Sus scrofa: one gene and its partners. The protein of the gene in region 1 interacts with the protein of each later gene in a pairwise test. Links are inferred from orthologs where the notes say so. Each region holds a gene or a part of one and is shown in the gene's direction. Other genes may lie near its edges.

Evidence for each region.
Region 2: the proteins of PRMT1 (region 1) and HNRNPR interact in binary tests that used the Homo sapiens proteins (3 or more experiments, as listed by UniProt). The link is inferred for Sus scrofa from reciprocal best matches to the Homo sapiens genes PRMT1 and HNRNPR.
Region 3: the proteins of PRMT1 (region 1) and BTG1 interact in a two-hybrid assay, tested with the Homo sapiens proteins (2 studies listed by BioGRID). The link is inferred for Sus scrofa from reciprocal best matches to the Homo sapiens genes PRMT1 and BTG1.
Region 4: the proteins of PRMT1 (region 1) and CDC37 interact in binary tests that used the Homo sapiens proteins (3 or more experiments, as listed by UniProt). The link is inferred for Sus scrofa from reciprocal best matches to the Homo sapiens genes PRMT1 and CDC37.

Annotation. Positions count from the first base shown.
Region 1 is NC_010448.4:54,717,410-54,721,699, forward strand, and holds the start of PRMT1 (protein arginine N-methyltransferase 1), read left to right. Parts: upstream 1-1,490; 5' UTR 1,491-1,547; coding exon 1,548-1,583; intron 1,584-2,489; exon of another isoform or gene 2,490-2,845; intron 2,846-3,754; coding exon 3,755-3,808; exon of another isoform or gene 3,809-4,111; coding exon of another isoform or gene 4,112-4,114; intron 4,115-4,290. UniProt on the Homo sapiens protein: Arginine methyltransferase that methylates (mono and asymmetric dimethylation) the guanidino nitrogens of arginyl residues present in proteins such as ESR1, histone H2, H3 and H4, FMR1, ILF3, HNRNPA1, HNRNPD, NFATC2IP, SUPT5H, TAF15, EWS, HABP4, SERBP1, RBM15, FOXO1, CHTOP, MAP3K5/ASK1, MICU1 and NPRL2.
Region 2 is NC_010448.4:81,236,617-81,240,650, reverse strand, and holds the start of HNRNPR (heterogeneous nuclear ribonucleoprotein R), read left to right. Parts: upstream 1-1,234; 5' UTR 1,235-1,388; intron 1,389-1,504; exon of another isoform or gene 1,505-1,929; intron 1,930-4,034. UniProt on the Homo sapiens protein: Component of ribonucleosomes, which are complexes of at least 20 other different heterogeneous nuclear ribonucleoproteins (hnRNP). hnRNP play an important role in processing of precursor mRNA in the nucleus.
Region 3 is NC_010447.5:90,814,035-90,817,993, forward strand, and holds BTG1 (protein BTG1), read left to right. Parts: upstream 1-1,159; 5' UTR 1,160-1,477; coding exon 1,478-1,625; intron 1,626-2,588; coding exon 2,589-2,956; 3' UTR 2,957-3,902; downstream 3,903-3,959. UniProt on the Homo sapiens protein: Anti-proliferative protein.
Region 4 is NC_010444.4:69,210,110-69,214,388, reverse strand, and holds the start of CDC37 (hsp90 co-chaperone Cdc37), read left to right. Parts: upstream 1-1,479; 5' UTR 1,480-1,573; coding exon 1,574-1,675; intron 1,676-4,279. UniProt on the Homo sapiens protein: Co-chaperone that binds to numerous kinases and promotes their interaction with the Hsp90 complex, resulting in stabilization and promotion of their activity. Inhibits HSP90AA1 ATPase activity.

The DNA of each region.
Region 1 (4,290 bases):
CGGTTTATACCTACAAGACTCTTAAAATTACAGGTTGATTTTTTGAAGTGCTGGAGGGGATGTGGAGCCCACAGAACGTTCATGGGTCACGGATGGGAATGCAACATGCTACAATACAGAGGGGAACTTTGGCAGTTTCTTAGAAAGATACACCTAGCATATGACCCAGCTGTGTTCTCAGTTTACCCAGGAAAAGGGAAAACATAGATCCAGAGAAAGCCTTGGTCATGATGGTTCACAGCCACTCTATTCCTAACAGCCCTATCCTGGAAACCACCCACATACCCACATACCCATCAAGAGGAAAATGTAACCCATGGATTCAATGGACTACTCCTCAGCCATGAAAAGGACTGGACAACTGCTAGGTGTGACATGAATGATTCTCAACAGCATTATGCTCAGTAAAAGAAGACAAACACTTGTGTACATACTGTAATTACATTTTTACAAAAATGTTTTTATCATTTTTACGAAATTTTAGACATGGAAAAGATGCGTGACGGTGACAACACAGAAAGTGATGGTTTCTGGGGTTGGGTGGGGAGATGTTGAATAGAAAAGGTCATGAAAGAACTTTCTGGGGTGATGCATATATTCTGCCAGTGGCACTCATCTTCATTCAGTACGTAATTTTCCTGCAGGTTTAGGAAGGCTCCCTGGAGGAGGTGGCAGCTAAAGGGCGCCCTGACTGACAAAGGAGTTGGACAGAAAAAGGGGGCGTGTGTTACCTGCAGGGGTGGACTTGGCAAAAAGCAAAGTGGCTTGAGTGGGGTCACTGGGTTTAAAAAACATGGAACAATTAAGTAGCGGGCCAGGGGTTAAATACCTTGACGCCCGAGCCCCATTCCTGATTTGTTTCGGGACCCCAGACATGAACTCCCTCTCTTTGGGCCTCTCGTTGGGTCAGTTTTCCTTCAGGAAAATGGGCACAAGCTCCTTCGTTCCTCCTGAGTGCCCGCCCCTCCGGCTGGGAGAAGCCATCAAAAGGGCGATGACTGACAGTTCTATTGAGCCAATCGCTGGAGCCTAAAGCCCTGCCTTCCTTTTTCGTGGGCCAATCGTCACGTTCTCCTTGAGGCCGGCCAAAAGCTTCGTGACGTCACAACAGCTGATAAACCAATAGCAGCCATCAAGAGGCGGGTCATTTTTGTGATAGACTGCTCTGTTTCAAGATGTCCGCTTGGCGCGGGGTCCGCCGGGAAGCTTGAAGGCGGTGCTGAGGGGAAAGGGGCGGGAACTCCCTGTTGACTTTGCCCAATCACCTGTCGCACTTCTTGCGATAGACAGGCAGTCCCTCCCATCCCGGTCGACCTAAAGGGGCGGGGTTCTGGACGCCAGACTGGGCGGTCTCCTCAATTTTGATGGGCGTCTTTTTAGCCCAATTGCAAAGCGGTATTCCCAGACGGGTCACCTCCGTTACCAATGAGATCTCCTGGCGGGGTCGCGGTGGGCGGGCCGTGGACCCTCCGGTATAAGGCGGTCCCGGGGGAGTGCGGAGAAGGGGGGGGTCTCGGCGGCCGGAGGAGGAGTAGGTGCGGGTGAAGATGGCGGCAGCCGAGGCCGCGAACTGCATCATGGAGGTGAGCGCCTGGAGCGCCGTCGGGGGCGGGGGGCAGTTTGAGGGTCAGCGTTTTATGCCTCCGTCGTGGGGAAGGGGCTCTGAGTCGCCGGATTGGGGTTGAAATCCTTTAGTCGTACGGAGGGGGCGCCGCATGCTCCGGATCCGGGATGCCGTTTGAGGTGCGGGTTCCCTAGCTTTCGAGCGCCTGTGGCACCCCCTAGAATCGAGGGTCTCGTGCCCCCTCCCACGATGAGAAGGGCTGGGGGCGCTTCCGGCCTGGTCCCCACGTGGCCGCAGCGCGGTGGGTGGGGAGGGGGTGTGCCGTGCCCGCCGGCCGGGCGGCCTCCACGTGCGGGACAAAGGCCCCGCCCCCGGTCGGGGGAGGGGCGCCCTGAGGGGGGGCGGGGAGGAGGCTCCGACCCTCCCTCTGAGGCCCCCTGCCCTCCTCCCCGGGGATCGTGACAAGCATCTCGGGGTGGGACTGACTTAGGGGCTCCGCCAAGTAAAGAGTCTCTTGGGAGGGCCGATGTATCTTGACCCTGAACAAACCCTTTGTGGGAGCGGGGCATCTGCTTAGGCATCGGTCCAGGTTTCGTGCATTCTTGAATTGGGATTGGAGGAAGACGAATTGGTTCCCTCTGGGCCCCCCTCCCACCCCAGTTTCCTGTCGATGGATTCTCCCCCGCCCGGGGCTTGGGGAGCTGGCGGGGGGGGGTGGAGCATGCCCCTGTGACCTCCCTCTGGTTGGGGGGGGGCATCTAGCAGAAGGAGGTCCTTCCCGAAAAGGCGTCGTGCACCCCCTTGTGGCCATTTCTGCTGTGTGGGAGGGACCTCTTTTTCATGGGGCGTGTCCCAAAGCCCACCTCCCCGCTGGAGCCTTCCAGGCGAGGGGAGAGAGAGTCTGTCTTGGGAAGGGGATCTGAGGGACTAGAGGCCGCGAACGTTGCTCCGTTTCTCTCCCCAGGGCATTTGTGAGGGTGGGAGTGAAACCTCCCCCTTCCTGAAGCCCTGTGTGAGGGTCCGGAGCGTGGATGCCTTAAACGGTGTTCCGTGAGGTTTGGTTCTCGTGCAGGCGTGTGAGGCTGGTTCCGGTGCTGAGTTTCAGGCCCTCCGGGGGCCTGCCTGGCGGAGGTGTCGGTGCTGAGAAGTAGGACCCAGCGGGAAATCCCCGCACAGGCCGCCCTCCTTTTTCCGCGTGTTCACGGGTTTGGGAGAATGGAGGTGGGGCTTGGAGCCCAGGGGGCTTCTGTCTGTGGTTTCACGCTTCTCGGAGCCTGACGGGTGGGTACATCTGGAAGAGATGCGATCCGGCGGGGCCTCTGTACTCTGGCCCGGTACCTTGTAGCCCTCTCTGGAATGGAGGGGAGCTCCCAGGGGTCACTCCAATGACTCCTGCCCCCCTCGGCTCTCTCCTGGGCCAGGGCCCGTGTGGGTGGAGGAAAGCGCTTCCCCAGAGGTTGCCCCAGGACTTGGCCCCGCACCTGGGGAGTTTCAGGGCCTGCCGCGGCGGTTGTTTGAATGTGGGCAGATGGGCTGAGGGTCCTGGGTCTGGCCTCCCCCGGCAGAGGGTAATAATCAGGGCGACTGGCTCTAACTGGCTTTGTTTGGGACTTGGCTGAGTCCAAGGCAGCAGCCAGGGGCCGGGCTGCCAGCTCTCGAGGGGGTGCCTTGTGCCACACCTCCTTTCTGGAATCCTCTCAGACAAGAGACTGGTTTGCAGTGGTGGCAGATGCCCAGTGGGTACACCCTGCCAGCCCCCCTCCCCCAGCTACTTAGGGCACCCAGGATGCGGGTGTGTGTCAGGAAGTGTCACCTAATCTGGGGGGATTAGATGATGAGGGGGAGTGACAGCTGGCAGTGCCTGTGTGCCCAGTGGGTGCCAGTTCCTCTGGCCTGGATGGGGGAGGTGCGCACGGTCAGGTGCCTTGCCCGACCGAGAGGGGCTGCGTGGGGGCAGGCCACCATCTCTCCAGCCTCAGCAGGGACAGAACCCCCTCCTCTCTTCCTCTGTCTCTCCCACCCCTTTCAAGAACAGTGTTCCCTCTTTGCTCACTCCCTCTCCCACACTCCCCACAAAGCAAAGCCAAATTGTAGGAAACACCCCCTTCTCCAAGAGCCCGGGTCCCCTGGCCTGGCCCTCCCCTAGTCTCTCCCAGTAGCTAATCCTTTCTCCCTGTTACTCTCTCCTAGAATTTTGTAGCCACCTTGGCTAATGGGATGAGCCTCCAGCCGCCTCTTGAAGAAGTAAATATCCTTTCGTGAGCCCCTTCCCCACATAAACATACCTCATCACACATCAGGCCCTTCCTACTGGCCCAACTCTGAGCCCTCTTGCTTCAAACCAGTTTACCCTGTGCCCCCGAAACACTTAGCCCAAACTCCCTCCAGGTTTGTGGCCCCCATCTGGCCTCCCCCGAACACTGCGGCTACTTCCTTAACTCCATTTCCAGCCCTCCTCTGTCCTTACCGGTGTCTGCCCGGGTTCTGCCTTCCCTCCCCTCCCCTGCTGTGGGCTGAGCTAGAGACGGGGGCAGAGAGACTGGAGAGATGGTAGGCCTGGCTGAGGTATTGGGGGACTCTACTGGATGGTGCTCTGGGGGGTCCTGGAAAGGCAAAAGGGCTTGTTCGGTTTGGGGGTTCCTGGGAGAGGCACGGTGGCGAGCGGGGTCTGTAGGCTTGCCGTGGGACCGTCTGGGGGTGGTTCTCTCCTCCAGGGAGAAGTAGGG
Region 2 (4,034 bases), about 27 Mb from region 1:
TATCTGAAGCTAATAAAGTTTAAGCTTCAAAGTCCCTTTACCATGCTCTTCCAAGACACTTCTAAATTTGTACTCATCATTTAAGATATTTTTAAGGATCCCATCATTTGTATAAGTCTCACACCCCTCAACACAAAAGTTGGATCCACCGTGATGTTTAGCTCAGTACTGGGCACATAGGTTTTGAGTAAATAATTTTTGGTTGATAGCTTCTGGAAAATCTAATGGTCCTCGAAGTGTATATGGAAGTCTTGCGGAACACTGCTTGACTTCCTCCACTCCGGCGCGGAGGGGAAGGGTGGGGTGTTGGAAGTTGAGGTAGGGAAGGAAGGGATGTGGGATTAGAGGTTTGGATTAAGGCGAGGACGAGGAACAAACCAGTAGGTGTGGAGGGTGAGAAATGTTTCAGAATAACGGAAATTAGTCTCCTTTGGGAATTAGCTCTTTTCCTGGCACGGCTCTTTGGGGTTCGTGATGTATACGTCTGTCCTGCTTTCTGAATATTAATTAGCGTCAAACCCCGCGAAGAAAGGTCCCTGCTCTGTCATTTGTACTTAACTGCTTCTGAGTAATGCCCACTTTAGCGATTTCTCCCACATTCTGATCTGCTCCCAAGGATGTGTGGAAGGCAGCCGAGGAAGCCGTTTTCTGAGCGTTCCAAGGGATGATTTTCTACACGAAAAGATTCTCGGAAAAAAACGGGCGAGCCAAATCCTTAGATCGTGCTCTAATTAAAGTCCCAAAGACGACCTAGAGGAAGGCCGGACCGCGTGGCGGTGGGCGTGTCTGGGGCGAACGCCCGCGGCGGCCGCGGCGGCGGCACGCGGGGGAATCACCAGCGCTGCGGCAGCGGCGAAGCGGCGGGAAGGCCGCGGCCCGCCAGGGCCGGCGCGGACGGCAGGGGGCGGGATTCCGGAGGCGGCCACGCGGCGCGAGGCCTACTTTTTCGGCTTCGCGTCTGCAGCAGACGAGGAGGGCGGGGCCTCGGCCACCCTGGGCCCGGTGCCCCGCAGCCTCGCCTCCACCCGGGGCTTCACGATAGACCCCTTTGTGTTCCTACCCCCGCCCCGGAGGCGCCCCAGCCGGCGGCGCTGAGTTCCCTCATTGGCTCAGCCTACGGCTTCATCGATTGGCTCCCGAGCGTCCGGAGTAGTGAGCCTCTTCTCACTACTATTGGTCCTCTGAGCTGTCCCTTAGGCTGCCGCGCGAGGTGATTGCCCGGCCGCTCCGAGTCCCTGGAAGCAGTTCCGGGAAACCCCGCGTGCTGCCGGGATCGCGTCTCGGTCCATGAGGGGGGGAGGGGGTGGCGCGCGCGCCATTTCTAGTCGTTTTCAAAGCGCCTCGCGCTGATTCTCACGGGCCCGGCCGCCGGCCCCAGATCTGTCCTGGTGAGTCTCGCGCCGGCCCGCGGGGGGAGGGGCCGGGAGCCCCGATCCGACCCTAGTGGGCCTGGCCGGGGCTCCGCACCGCGTCCCGTTTGGTTTTCTCCGAGGCCCCGGGGTGGGGGTGGGGATGGGCTGGGGGCGGCTTTGGCCTCTCCCGCCGCACCGCTGAGGGCCTAGCCCCGCTGAGGCGCCTCCTCACCCTCGCTCATCCTCCCCCCGCCCCTCCAACCCCTAGCCCTCGGTCCGGCCCACCGGGCGCCCTTCGCGCGGCCTGCCGGGTCGGTCGCGCTTTTCCCGCCTCCGCCTGTCGCTCCTCGCGGCCGGGTTGGGCCGGGCCGGACCAGCGGCCTGAGGCGTCCACGGCACCATCGCCTTTCCCCGTCGGAGCCTCCAAGCTCCTGTCTCAGTCGGCCTAGCTATGAGTGGGATGTGTTGATGCTTGGGACAGGCATGAGTGGGGGTGGGTGGGCAGAGGGCGGGATGCAAACCCCGAGTGACCTGAGCCGGGAGAAAACTTTTGTGCGAAGCAGAGGCCGAAAGGCGGGTATGTGTAGAAAGCCTCCTTCCCCTCCCCCATTCTGCATGCTGCGAGTCGAGATTTGAAGGAAAAAATGACTATTAGAGGCCATGAAACTTAGGCTTCGAGCGGCGTCTGAGATACATAATTCCAGGAATGTCACAGGCGCACTAAATTGGAAAGGCGATTCTTTTTTTTCTATGGTAGAAGCCGTATTGCCAGAATTTAAAACTTGAAGCCCTGGGGTTCTTGAAGGGTTCAGTCCTTTTACGCTACCTGTTTGAGATTTTTGCTGTCCTCTGGAGGCTGAATTTATGTCTCATGAGTCAGTCGTAGGATAAGGGCTTGACACTCCTAAGCCGAGTTAACCGTTAGTTTTCATTTCGTTGGTTCTTTAAAAGCCAGTCTCTTAAATGTGAAGAGTTTTCACGAGATGTTCAGAAAAAGTCAGGGAGAGGCTAGTGTCAGACTTCCCCAATGTCCCAGCAGCCCTTATTTAAATTTCTACTTTTTGCAAAACAGTGTAGATCAAATGACTTTAGTCACATTAGTATATTTGCTGCATCCAGAAATATGGTTTGGCTGTGTGGCATTGTATTGACACAAAACAAGAGTTTTAAATGGTCTCATAATGACATAAAAATCTTTTTAAAAATGAGCACATTGTATTTGGCTTGGAGAGAGGTTTTCCTTGACATGAAAGGTTTTATTTTCTGGACTCTAATAGCTGTACTTTTTTTTTTTTTTTTTTTTTTTTTTTTTAAGGTTACAGACTTTTTGAAATTTTCAACCAGTTTCAGAATCACCTTGTAGAGAGCCTTTGCAGTGAATGGTAGACATAAATATTTGTCTTGCGATTAATACACAACTTGTCTTTTTGCTTTACACATACTTAAAAGAAAAAATACCACCTTAACAGATGTTTATTGAACTTTTCTGTTAAAAATTTGCTTTCTTTCCGTGACTAATAGAATTCTCAGATGCAATACTGCAAGGGTTTGTGTTACCGAGAACTTTTGAGTTCTGATGATCTTATGCTCGTATGGGGGGGGAACAACTGTATGTTCATAAAGAGATTTTGGACTTTAGGATGCATCTTTGTAGAAGTAGGTTGTATTAATCAGTAAACGATTTATCTTACACTGTAAGTAGCTTCTTGATCAAAAGTGTGCCAGTTTTGAATGTTTTTGCCAGTCCATCAGAATTTGGGGCTTGTCTTGAGAGACATTTATCTACCCAGAATTTAACCGTGGAGTCTGCATCTGTATAGACATTATTGGGTTACTAAGTCTTAATGATGTTTTGTAATCATAATAAGTCATGATATTTATCTCATTTTCAGAGGGACCCTTTCTGCATTTTCCTCTCTTCCTACTCAGTCTCTTCTTCCCTTTTTCATTAACTTCAACTAAATATCAGTGGACTTTGAAATGAAGTTGTTTTAATTAAGAAGAATGCACTTGGTGTGCATTTGCATAGTGTTTTGATAAGCAGTCTGGAAGTGTGGTTACCTTATGTATGAGTTTTACTGCTTTTCAGGAAACTTGTATTTTCTTTATAGCTGGTATTTTGAGTTTCATCAAGTAGGCTTTTCCTTTGAGATCCACCTTCATGTCCTTAATTTCAGTATTTGTTGCAGTGTCTTTATTCTGCTTATTCATCACATTATAATTTCACCACGGACAAATGCACTTTAATTCCCTTTTGAGGAGGCAGTATAGAGACTGGCCTTGTTTTGGTTTTATTATTTAATCTCTCTGTCAGGGTGTTGGTCCATTTCAGCATTACATACAGGTTGAACACCCAGAATGATTTGGGTAGGTTAATCTGAGACATCTGACCTAAGTTTATTCTCATTAGGTAATGTTTGTTGAAACTATGTGGAAGACATTAGTTGTCTGTTCTCAAATACGTTTTTCAGTTTTATTTTACTGATACAAAAAATTCAGTATATACTCATGACTTTTTTTTTTTAAAGAAGCAGCCTTAACTCTAGCTCACTTTTTATTTTATGTGGACTTAAAACAATCATTTAGCTTTTAAACCTGGTCATTTTTTCTTTTAAATCTGTGAATGGGAGTAGCAAACTAATTTTAGAACAAAAATTAATGTCAAGTTGTGTTTTTTGTTTT
Region 3 (3,959 bases), on another chromosome or scaffold:
GGCCGGCTCACCATCTTTTTTTTCTCCTCCTTAATGGAGTTCTGGTTAACCCTCTCTTAGGCCTAATCGTTTTAGCAAGTTCACGCCTTCCTATTTTTTCCTAGTTCAGCAAGTAGGGCTTAACTAAACAAATATCTGAGCAAATTTTATCTTTATTTTCTTGTTTTTATAAAGAGCAACAGAACTCTAAGGCTCAAACAGTTCAGTGGATTAGGAAAAAAAGGAAACAACCTTCTGTTTTGTGCAAAAAAGATGTAAAATGCATTATATAGGTTTCTTTTCTTTTACTAAACTTGTTATAATTACATTTATATTCAATAGCAGCCTTTCTTATCAGTTTTAAGCTGGTCAGTAAGGTCTCCACTTTTCTCTGACTCCTCAAGTTACTGAAACAGCAACCACAAAAGGCTTACTAACCTTTATTTATTTTGCAATTAAACTTTGACAAAGACATGCCCCAACCCTCCGCAAGGGTGGAAGGGAAACGGCTCCGAGGCGTTGGCTGCATGTTTGTGAGAACTGGGTTCCGAAAGCTGCAGGATGCCCCGCGAGAGCCGGTTCCCTCCACTTTTCCCCGCACTCCCAGCTTCCTCAGCACGGGTACCCGCATCCCGCTGCTCTGTATGCTCTTCCTTCCTGTGGAGCCAGGCACGTAGACTCAGCGTGGTGACGGGTTGTAAACACCGAGTACGCGAGCCGGCAGGTGCCTTGAGGCCAGATCCGTGCCGCAGGCGCGCGTGTAGACAGCCTGAGCGGGGCTGCTTTTATCTGCACAGCTCTGTCTCCTCGAGGCGAGCCCAGGCAGCGAACGCTTGCAGAGGATGCGCTGGCGCAGCTCCAGGAGTTGTTGGAGCAGGAAGGAGGAGTTAGGGCTAGGGGCGGGGCTTTCACACGCGCACCCTCTGTTTCCTCCATCCCGTTTTCCCCCCCGCTGGGCCGCCACTCGGGGGTTTATTTGTTTACAAGCGGATTACGTCAGCTCCTCCCTCTCCTCCCGGTCTCTGGGCACGCCCCCTGGCCCCTTTTCCCGCCCCCTTCGGCTCAGAATCTGCTTGCATCACAATGGTGCGATCTCCGGATTGGCTGGAGTCGTCCGTCACGCTCCAGCTACGCCACTTCCTTTTCTCTGCGCTATAAAAAGTGCCGCACGGCCGCTGCATCTCTTTGCCCGTCTGAGCTGGAAATGCAAGTGTTTGGAGCTTCGGAGGCTGCGGAGCTGGAGGCGGAGGCGGCCGGGGCGGTCCGAGCGATGTGACCAGGCCGCCGTCGCTCGTCTCTTCCTTTCTCCTGCCGCCTCCTGTCTCGAAAATAACTTTTTACTATAAAGAAGGGAGGAGAAAAAAGTAGCCGTCCACCGCTCACGCTCTCTCCCCCTCTCAGCCCACTGACCTGTGAGGGAGCCCGGGGTGGCCGCTCCGCCGTCGGGGCCGCACCGCCGAGCCCCGGCCGCCCCGGGCCGCCCCCGCCTGCCGCCCCCATGCATCCCTTCTACACCCGGGCCGCCACCATGATAGGCGAGATCGCCGCCGCCGTGTCCTTCATCTCCAAGTTTCTCCGCACCAAGGGGCTCACGAGCGAGCGACAGCTGCAGACCTTCAGCCAGAGCCTGCAGGAGCTGCTGGCAGGTGAGCGGGCGGCGGCAGGGCGGGGGGCGCCGAGGGACGCGGTGGCACATCTCTGGGCCGGGCCGTCGGGGACGCGGGAGTCTTGGCGGCACTGTGGGCAGGTCGCGCTCGGTTCCGGCAGCGGGACCGTGACTGGCGCGCCCGGCTGCCGCTAACGGCGGGTCCGGGACAGGGTTTGGGGGTGGGCCAAGGGCGCCCCCTCCCCCCACGGCTGGCAGACCAAGGGGACAGGAAAACAGACGCACAACAAAGAAACTGAAGCCGACCGAGGCGGGAGCCGCCGTCCTCGGACGGTCCGCGCATTTGGGGGACAAAGGAGCCGCCGGGCTAGGGTGGATTCGACGCCCCCTCCCCCCCATCCCGTCTAACCGTTGCGGGCCCGACGGCCGGGCCACGGGATGGGAAGGCGCGCCGCTGCCAGGGAGCCAGCCCGGGCCGGACGTGCAGTCTCTCCGCGCCTCCTACCCCTGTCCATTAATCATCGGATTTGTCACCGGTACAATTACTGCCCTGCCCAGAGCGTGGTTTAGGATGGCTTGTTCCATTCCCTTCGGGGCGAACAGTCCAGTGGCGCTCCTCTTCGAAGCCATAAACCCCATTGTGTGTGCGGCTGGGGTGGGGTGGAGAAAGTAAACAGGTTCCCGCCTGGCCACCGGTGCCACCCCGCTGCCCGGCTGGCGGAGGCTGCCCGCCGGATTGCCGTTTTGGCAACTCAACCGGTTGGTTCCCGGAGATTGTTCTGTACGGTGTACTACTGTTATTTCTCAAACCCTGCCCGCTCATTCCCCATCGCCTTACATGGACAGCCGCGGATTCAATGCTGGGTTTTTTTTTTTGTTTTTTTTTTTAAAGAAAGTTGCTAGTTTGCATTTTCCCTCAACGAAGCCAGCCGAAGAAAGAAACTACAGCGGGAGCCAGCAGTAACGATATCTAAGCGCTGTTTCTGTTTTTTTTCTTCTATAGAACATTATAAACACCACTGGTTCCCAGAAAAGCCGTGCAAAGGATCAGGTTACCGTTGTATTCGCATCAACCATAAAATGGATCCTCTGATTGGACAGGCAGCACAGCGGATTGGACTGAGCAGTCAGGAGCTGTTCAGGCTTCTCCCAAGTGAACTCACTCTCTGGGTTGACCCTTACGAAGTGTCCTACAGAATTGGAGAGGATGGTTCCATCTGTGTGCTGTACGAAGCCTCACCAGCAGGAGGTAGCACCCAAAACAGCACCAACGTGCAAATGGTAGACAGCAGAATCAGCTGTAAGGAGGAACTTCTCTTGGGCAGAACAAGCCCTTCCAAAAGCTACAATATGATGACTGTATCAGGTTAAGATATAGTCTATGGATGGATCCTCTTATAATGGATGGATAAATTTGATTTTTGCTTTGGGTGGGCTCCTCTTGGGGATGGATTATGGAATTTAAACCATGTCACAGCTGTGAAGATCTGGCACAAGATAGAGTGGTAAAAAAATTTTTTTAAGTGACAGTGCCATAGTTTGGACAGTACCTTTCAATGACTTAATAGCCTGTGAGTCCAAGTAAATTGATCACCTTATTTGCTAGGGAGTGAAGTCCTGGGGTGGTTTCATTTTCTCCCGGACATGATACCTAAATTTTTACATCAGTCCCTTTAACACAAATCCATATTTCAAAGAACCTTTCTCTGCGGTAGAACTTGGCAGAGGAAATTTGCACTATTACACTTAAATTGTTATCCTTTTTGGCAGCTCGATAGGAAAGCTCAACATTTTAAACGCGGTAGTACTGGAAATTTTATAACAAGACTTTTACCTAGCACTTAAATATGTATAAATGTACATAAGACAAAACTAGTAAGCATGACCTGGGGAAATGGTCAGACCTTGTATTGTGTTTTTGGCCTTGAAAGTAGCAAGTGACCAGAATCTGCCATGGCAACAGGCTTTAAAAAAAGACCTTAAAAAGACACTGTCTCAACTGTGGTGTTAGCACCAGCCAGCTCTCTGTACATTTGCTAGCTTGTAGTTTTCTAAGACTGAGTAAACTTCTTATTTTTAGAAAGTGGAGGTCTGGTTTGTAACTTTCCTTGTACTTAATTGGGTAAAAGTCTTTTCCACAAACCACCATCTATTTTGTGAACTTTGTTAGTCATCTTTTATTTGGTAAATTATGAACTGGTGTAAATTTGTACAGTTCATGTATATTGATTGTGGCAAAGTTGTACAGATTTCTATATTTTGGATGAGAAATTTTTCTTCTCTCTATAATAAATTGTTTCTTATCTTGGCATTTTAATCAATCTCTTGTCATGATTATAGAGGTTCAGCTAAAAGAAATCTATTTCTCAGAAGA
Region 4 (4,279 bases), on another chromosome or scaffold:
TCCGTCTTAGCCCCCTCCCTCTTGGGCGCCAGGTTCCCCTCCCCACCGCAGCTTTTAGCCCAAATCTTACCTTGCAGGGGGACTGGGGAGGGGATGCCCCGCCCTCTCCGGCCTGGGGGGCGGGAGGGGACAGGGGTGTCCAGACCCTTTGTTGTTTGCTGGTGTGTGTGTGTGTGTGTGTGTGTGTGTGTGTGTGCGCGCGCGCGCACGCGCGATTGTCAGACCTGAGGTGTGGGTCCGTGCGCGCGCGAGCCCAGGCCGTGACGGCTGCTGAGATGCTGGACTGCCGGGGCTGGAGAGGGAGGAGGAGGAGAGGGGGACTCCCCCGCCCCCGCCCGCCTCCTTGCCGGTTTGAATGAAGCGTGAGGGGGAGGGGAGGCAGCGGGCAGGAGCTTTGTCAGGACGTGTCCCCTCCCCTTCCCCCGACTGGGGAATCCCCTCCCATCCCCCCTGCGCCCCCATTTAGAGACCTTTACTCCTTTCTCTCCAGCCTTTTCCCTCCAAACGCCCACTCTGGGGGAGTCTGGAAGAGGCGCCCTTCACGCAAGTGGTTGAAGCTTCTCCCATCCCCCACGCCATCGGAGCATCCTTTAATCTGAGATAATCCCGGCCCTAGGCTGCAACGCGGCCTTTTATCCTGGTATCAAAGCGTGGGTAGGGATATATGAAAGTGTGTGGCTGGGGTCGCTCAAGCTCAATGTAAGAGTCCTTAGAGCCCAGGACCAGAAAAGGGGCCCCAGACGAAAGGGGAAGGCCTGCTAGCGGTCCTAGAGCACTACCACCGGGAAAGATTCCCCACTTGGTGTGAGGCCAGAAGCACTGGCCGCTAGTTAGACATTGGTGCCACCCAGCGGCCGCACGGGGAGACGCTGTGGATCGGCTCCCGAGACTAGTTAAATGAAGTCTGGGTGATTCCGAAGGGGGGCGCGCGAATCCCCGTTCAGGAGTGGCAGAAGCGAGGAGGAGGCTGTGGTTCGAGCCGGGGAAACACCAGGCCCCAAGGCAGAGCCACAGCACTCCCATCACCTCCAACCCCTCAAGGGCAGGGCCATATCCTTCCTTCACTTAGACCCTCCCAGGACAGGGTCCTGTACCCCTCGGACTGGGAAGGTCCTTCCATATCAGACAACCTCCCCAACACAGCTAAATCCCCCTTCACAAGGAACCCAGCAGTGGGCTAGGGCTGACGTCACTGCAGCGTGGCTAAGAGGACAATCCTCTCCCTCAGGCTCGCCAACTGCTCACTTACGGCCGCCGTAAAGGCCCACTATGCGGCGGCAGGAGATTAGCGGGGCTCGAGGTTGGAGAACCCACTCATATACCCCCCAGGAAGTGCCCGAAGCAGGATGGGATGAGGTTTGAGGGAGAATCCCAGGAGTTGGGACACGTGCGCAGGGCTCTTTAAGAACTCGGTCGCCAGGGCCGCTGCCAGGGTTACTAAGGATGTGACGTCACGTGCGGGCGGGGGCGTGCGCGCCCAGACGGAAGCGGAAGGGGCGGGGCTCGGCGGTCCGAGTCTCCGTGCTGCCGCTACCGCCGCCAGAGTCGGAGCTGGCTGGGCCGCCAAGGCAAGATGGTGGACTACAGCGTGTGGGATCACATCGAGGTGTCTGACGATGAAGACGAGACGCACCCCAATATCGACACTGCCAGCCTCTTCCGCTGGAGGCACCAGGTAGAGCGCGCGCGGCCAGCCCCTTCCCCCACTCCCGGGTCTCTGCTTCAGAGTTCTGACTTCAGATACTGCTAGGAACCCGGCCATGGACACCTGAGATTCCCACCCTACAGTCTGGACTTTCAGTAGCGCCCAGGGTTCTTCGATTCAACTCCGGGATCCCAGAACTTCCGGGACCCTTGAGTCCCTTGCCTGCTATCCGAGCCTCCCCCTGCCGATTTCTTCTTGGAACTCCCAGTTCACCCCTAGGGCACCTTCTTCAGAGTTTAACTACCAAGACAAGCTTTGGGCTTCCCCCCCAGTTCCGTTTGGGACCTTCCATTTACGCTCCGAATCTTACCTCAGAATCTTGACCCTGATCCTATTCAAGTACCCCCTTGTGATCTTGGACATCCCATGGGCCCCTCCCAATCCCTAGAGTTCCCAGTACTTTAAGTTGTAAGTCTGTTCTTCGATCGGCCTTTCTGGGTCCCAGTGGTGATTCCCGTTTAGATCCAGAAATCCTCTAAATACAACAAGGAATTCTGTCCTTCCTTGAGATTTCTGTTCCTGGCGTGGGACTCCAGCCCACACCCAGGACCCCTTTCCTGGAACTTAAACCAGTGCCCATCAGTATCCTTAGTCCCATCTAGGACTGGCATTTTGAAACCTAGTTCCCTTTCAGATTGAACCACCAGCTCTACCCTTGATGGAGCTTCCAATTCCGGCCACTCTCCTTCAGCCTCACATACTGTAGACCCAGTTTCCCATTATGTCAGGAAATCCTACCCACGTGGCTTCCCCCCAGCTAGAGCCCCTGCCCCTGCTTGGTACTGCAGACCCAGTCACCAAACTCTCCCCCCCACCCAAGACAGGCTTCCTGTAGGAGTCAGCTTTGGAAAGCCTCATTCAAATGCAAGTCCAGGACCCAAACCCACCCCTTCTTCCTTCTGACCCTAGCATGGACTGCTGATCTCAGACACCCAGAGTGACCCTGCTTTTACCAGAAACCCTCCCAGTCTGATTCCAGATTCATTGCCCTACTTTTACTTATTCCCCAAATCCAGACTCCAGGATCCCAAAGTCTGTTCTCTTGCCCTTCTCCCACCCAGCAGTGTTCACAGGCCAGCAAAATAGCCCTCCTAAGATGTAATGTTCTAGCCTCCTGCTCCCCAAAATCAGAGCTCCGGCACCCACATTCCTGTGCCTATGAGACTTTGAAACTCAGGGCATATACCTCTCAGAACCTTCCAGTTAGGAATTCCTCACCCCATTTTTCCGTGTATCAGCTCCCAGTCCTTTTTCTAGAAACTCCTAGAAGGGCTCTTCCCCTTCCTGCCAAGACACAGCATGAGTCCCTACATCTGCTACCCAGTGCTAGTTCCAACCCATTCCTTAAAGCAGCAGTCTCCTGGGTAGTGTCCCTGCTGGGCAAGCCGCTGGAGTGTAAGAAGAAAGTTCTAGCACTTCTCTCTTTCTTGCCATGTGTAACATTTTATCATGAAATATTTAAGATCTCTGCAAAGCTCTGAAGACTATCCTCAGGAACATGGATTACTGTCACATAGTCAATCTATGCCACTGTGTGGTGGATGTTCTGGTCCTGCTGGGCGGCAGGCTAGTGCCCCCTCTCCTACCTCGTCTTCCTCTCACCACGCCCTTCTCCCTCCTGGCCAAAACTCTTTCCTGGCCTGCTACTGAGAGTTCCTGGGCAGCGGTGGAGAGGGTCGGAGGTAGAGAGCCTGGTGTCTCCAGCAGCACCAAGTTCAGTGGCAGGCAAGCCTAGGTTCTTATCCCAGCCCTGCCACAGGACACTGGTGCTTTACTCTAGGGGGAGCAAGACCCCCACCTCCACGAGTCAATCATAGGAAGTGAGTAAGCATTCCAGAGGGAAAGAGGGGATTCTAGAACAAATAGCCTGGAGTGCTTCTGAGCGCAGGCCTGCCCACCTGGGTTCAGATCCTGGCTCCTTCAGAATCACAGACTTACTGCCTGGCAAGTTGTTTTTTCTTTTTCTTTTCTTTTTTTTTTTTCATTTTTGGCCACCCCATGGCATGTGACGTTCCCAGGCCAGAGATCAGATTTGAGTCGCAGTCGTGACCAAAGCTGCAGCTGTGGCACTGGCAGATCCTTGACCCACTGTGCCAGGTCGGGGATTGAACCAGAGTCACAGTGCTCCCAAGATGCCACCTGTCTCGTGCCACAGTGGGAGCCCTCCCAGTGAGTTTGGATTGCTCTGTGCCTTCATTTCCCCAGCAGGGAATCTTCACAGTATCTACCCCATAGGGTTGTTGTGAGGATCACCTTTTGTATTTAATGTGTGTTAACACTCTCAGGACAGCACACGGATGGAATAAGTTCTGTGGAGACTTTAGTTTTTGTCATCGTTTAGGTCATTCACACTCATGGTAAAAAAAAAAAGAACCTCAAGATTCCAGAGGGGACAGGTGAGTCCTCCCAGCTCCAGCTCCCTGCCTCCCTGGCTCCCTTGCCCAGAGACAAATAAGTACTGGTTTCTTGTGGCCCCTTCCAGTGAGCTTATGTGGCATCAAGGTTCTGGGAGCCTCGGTTCCCTTATGTATAAGGCAAGGTGTCAGTGACACCTGTGGCCCCTTCTCACTGCTG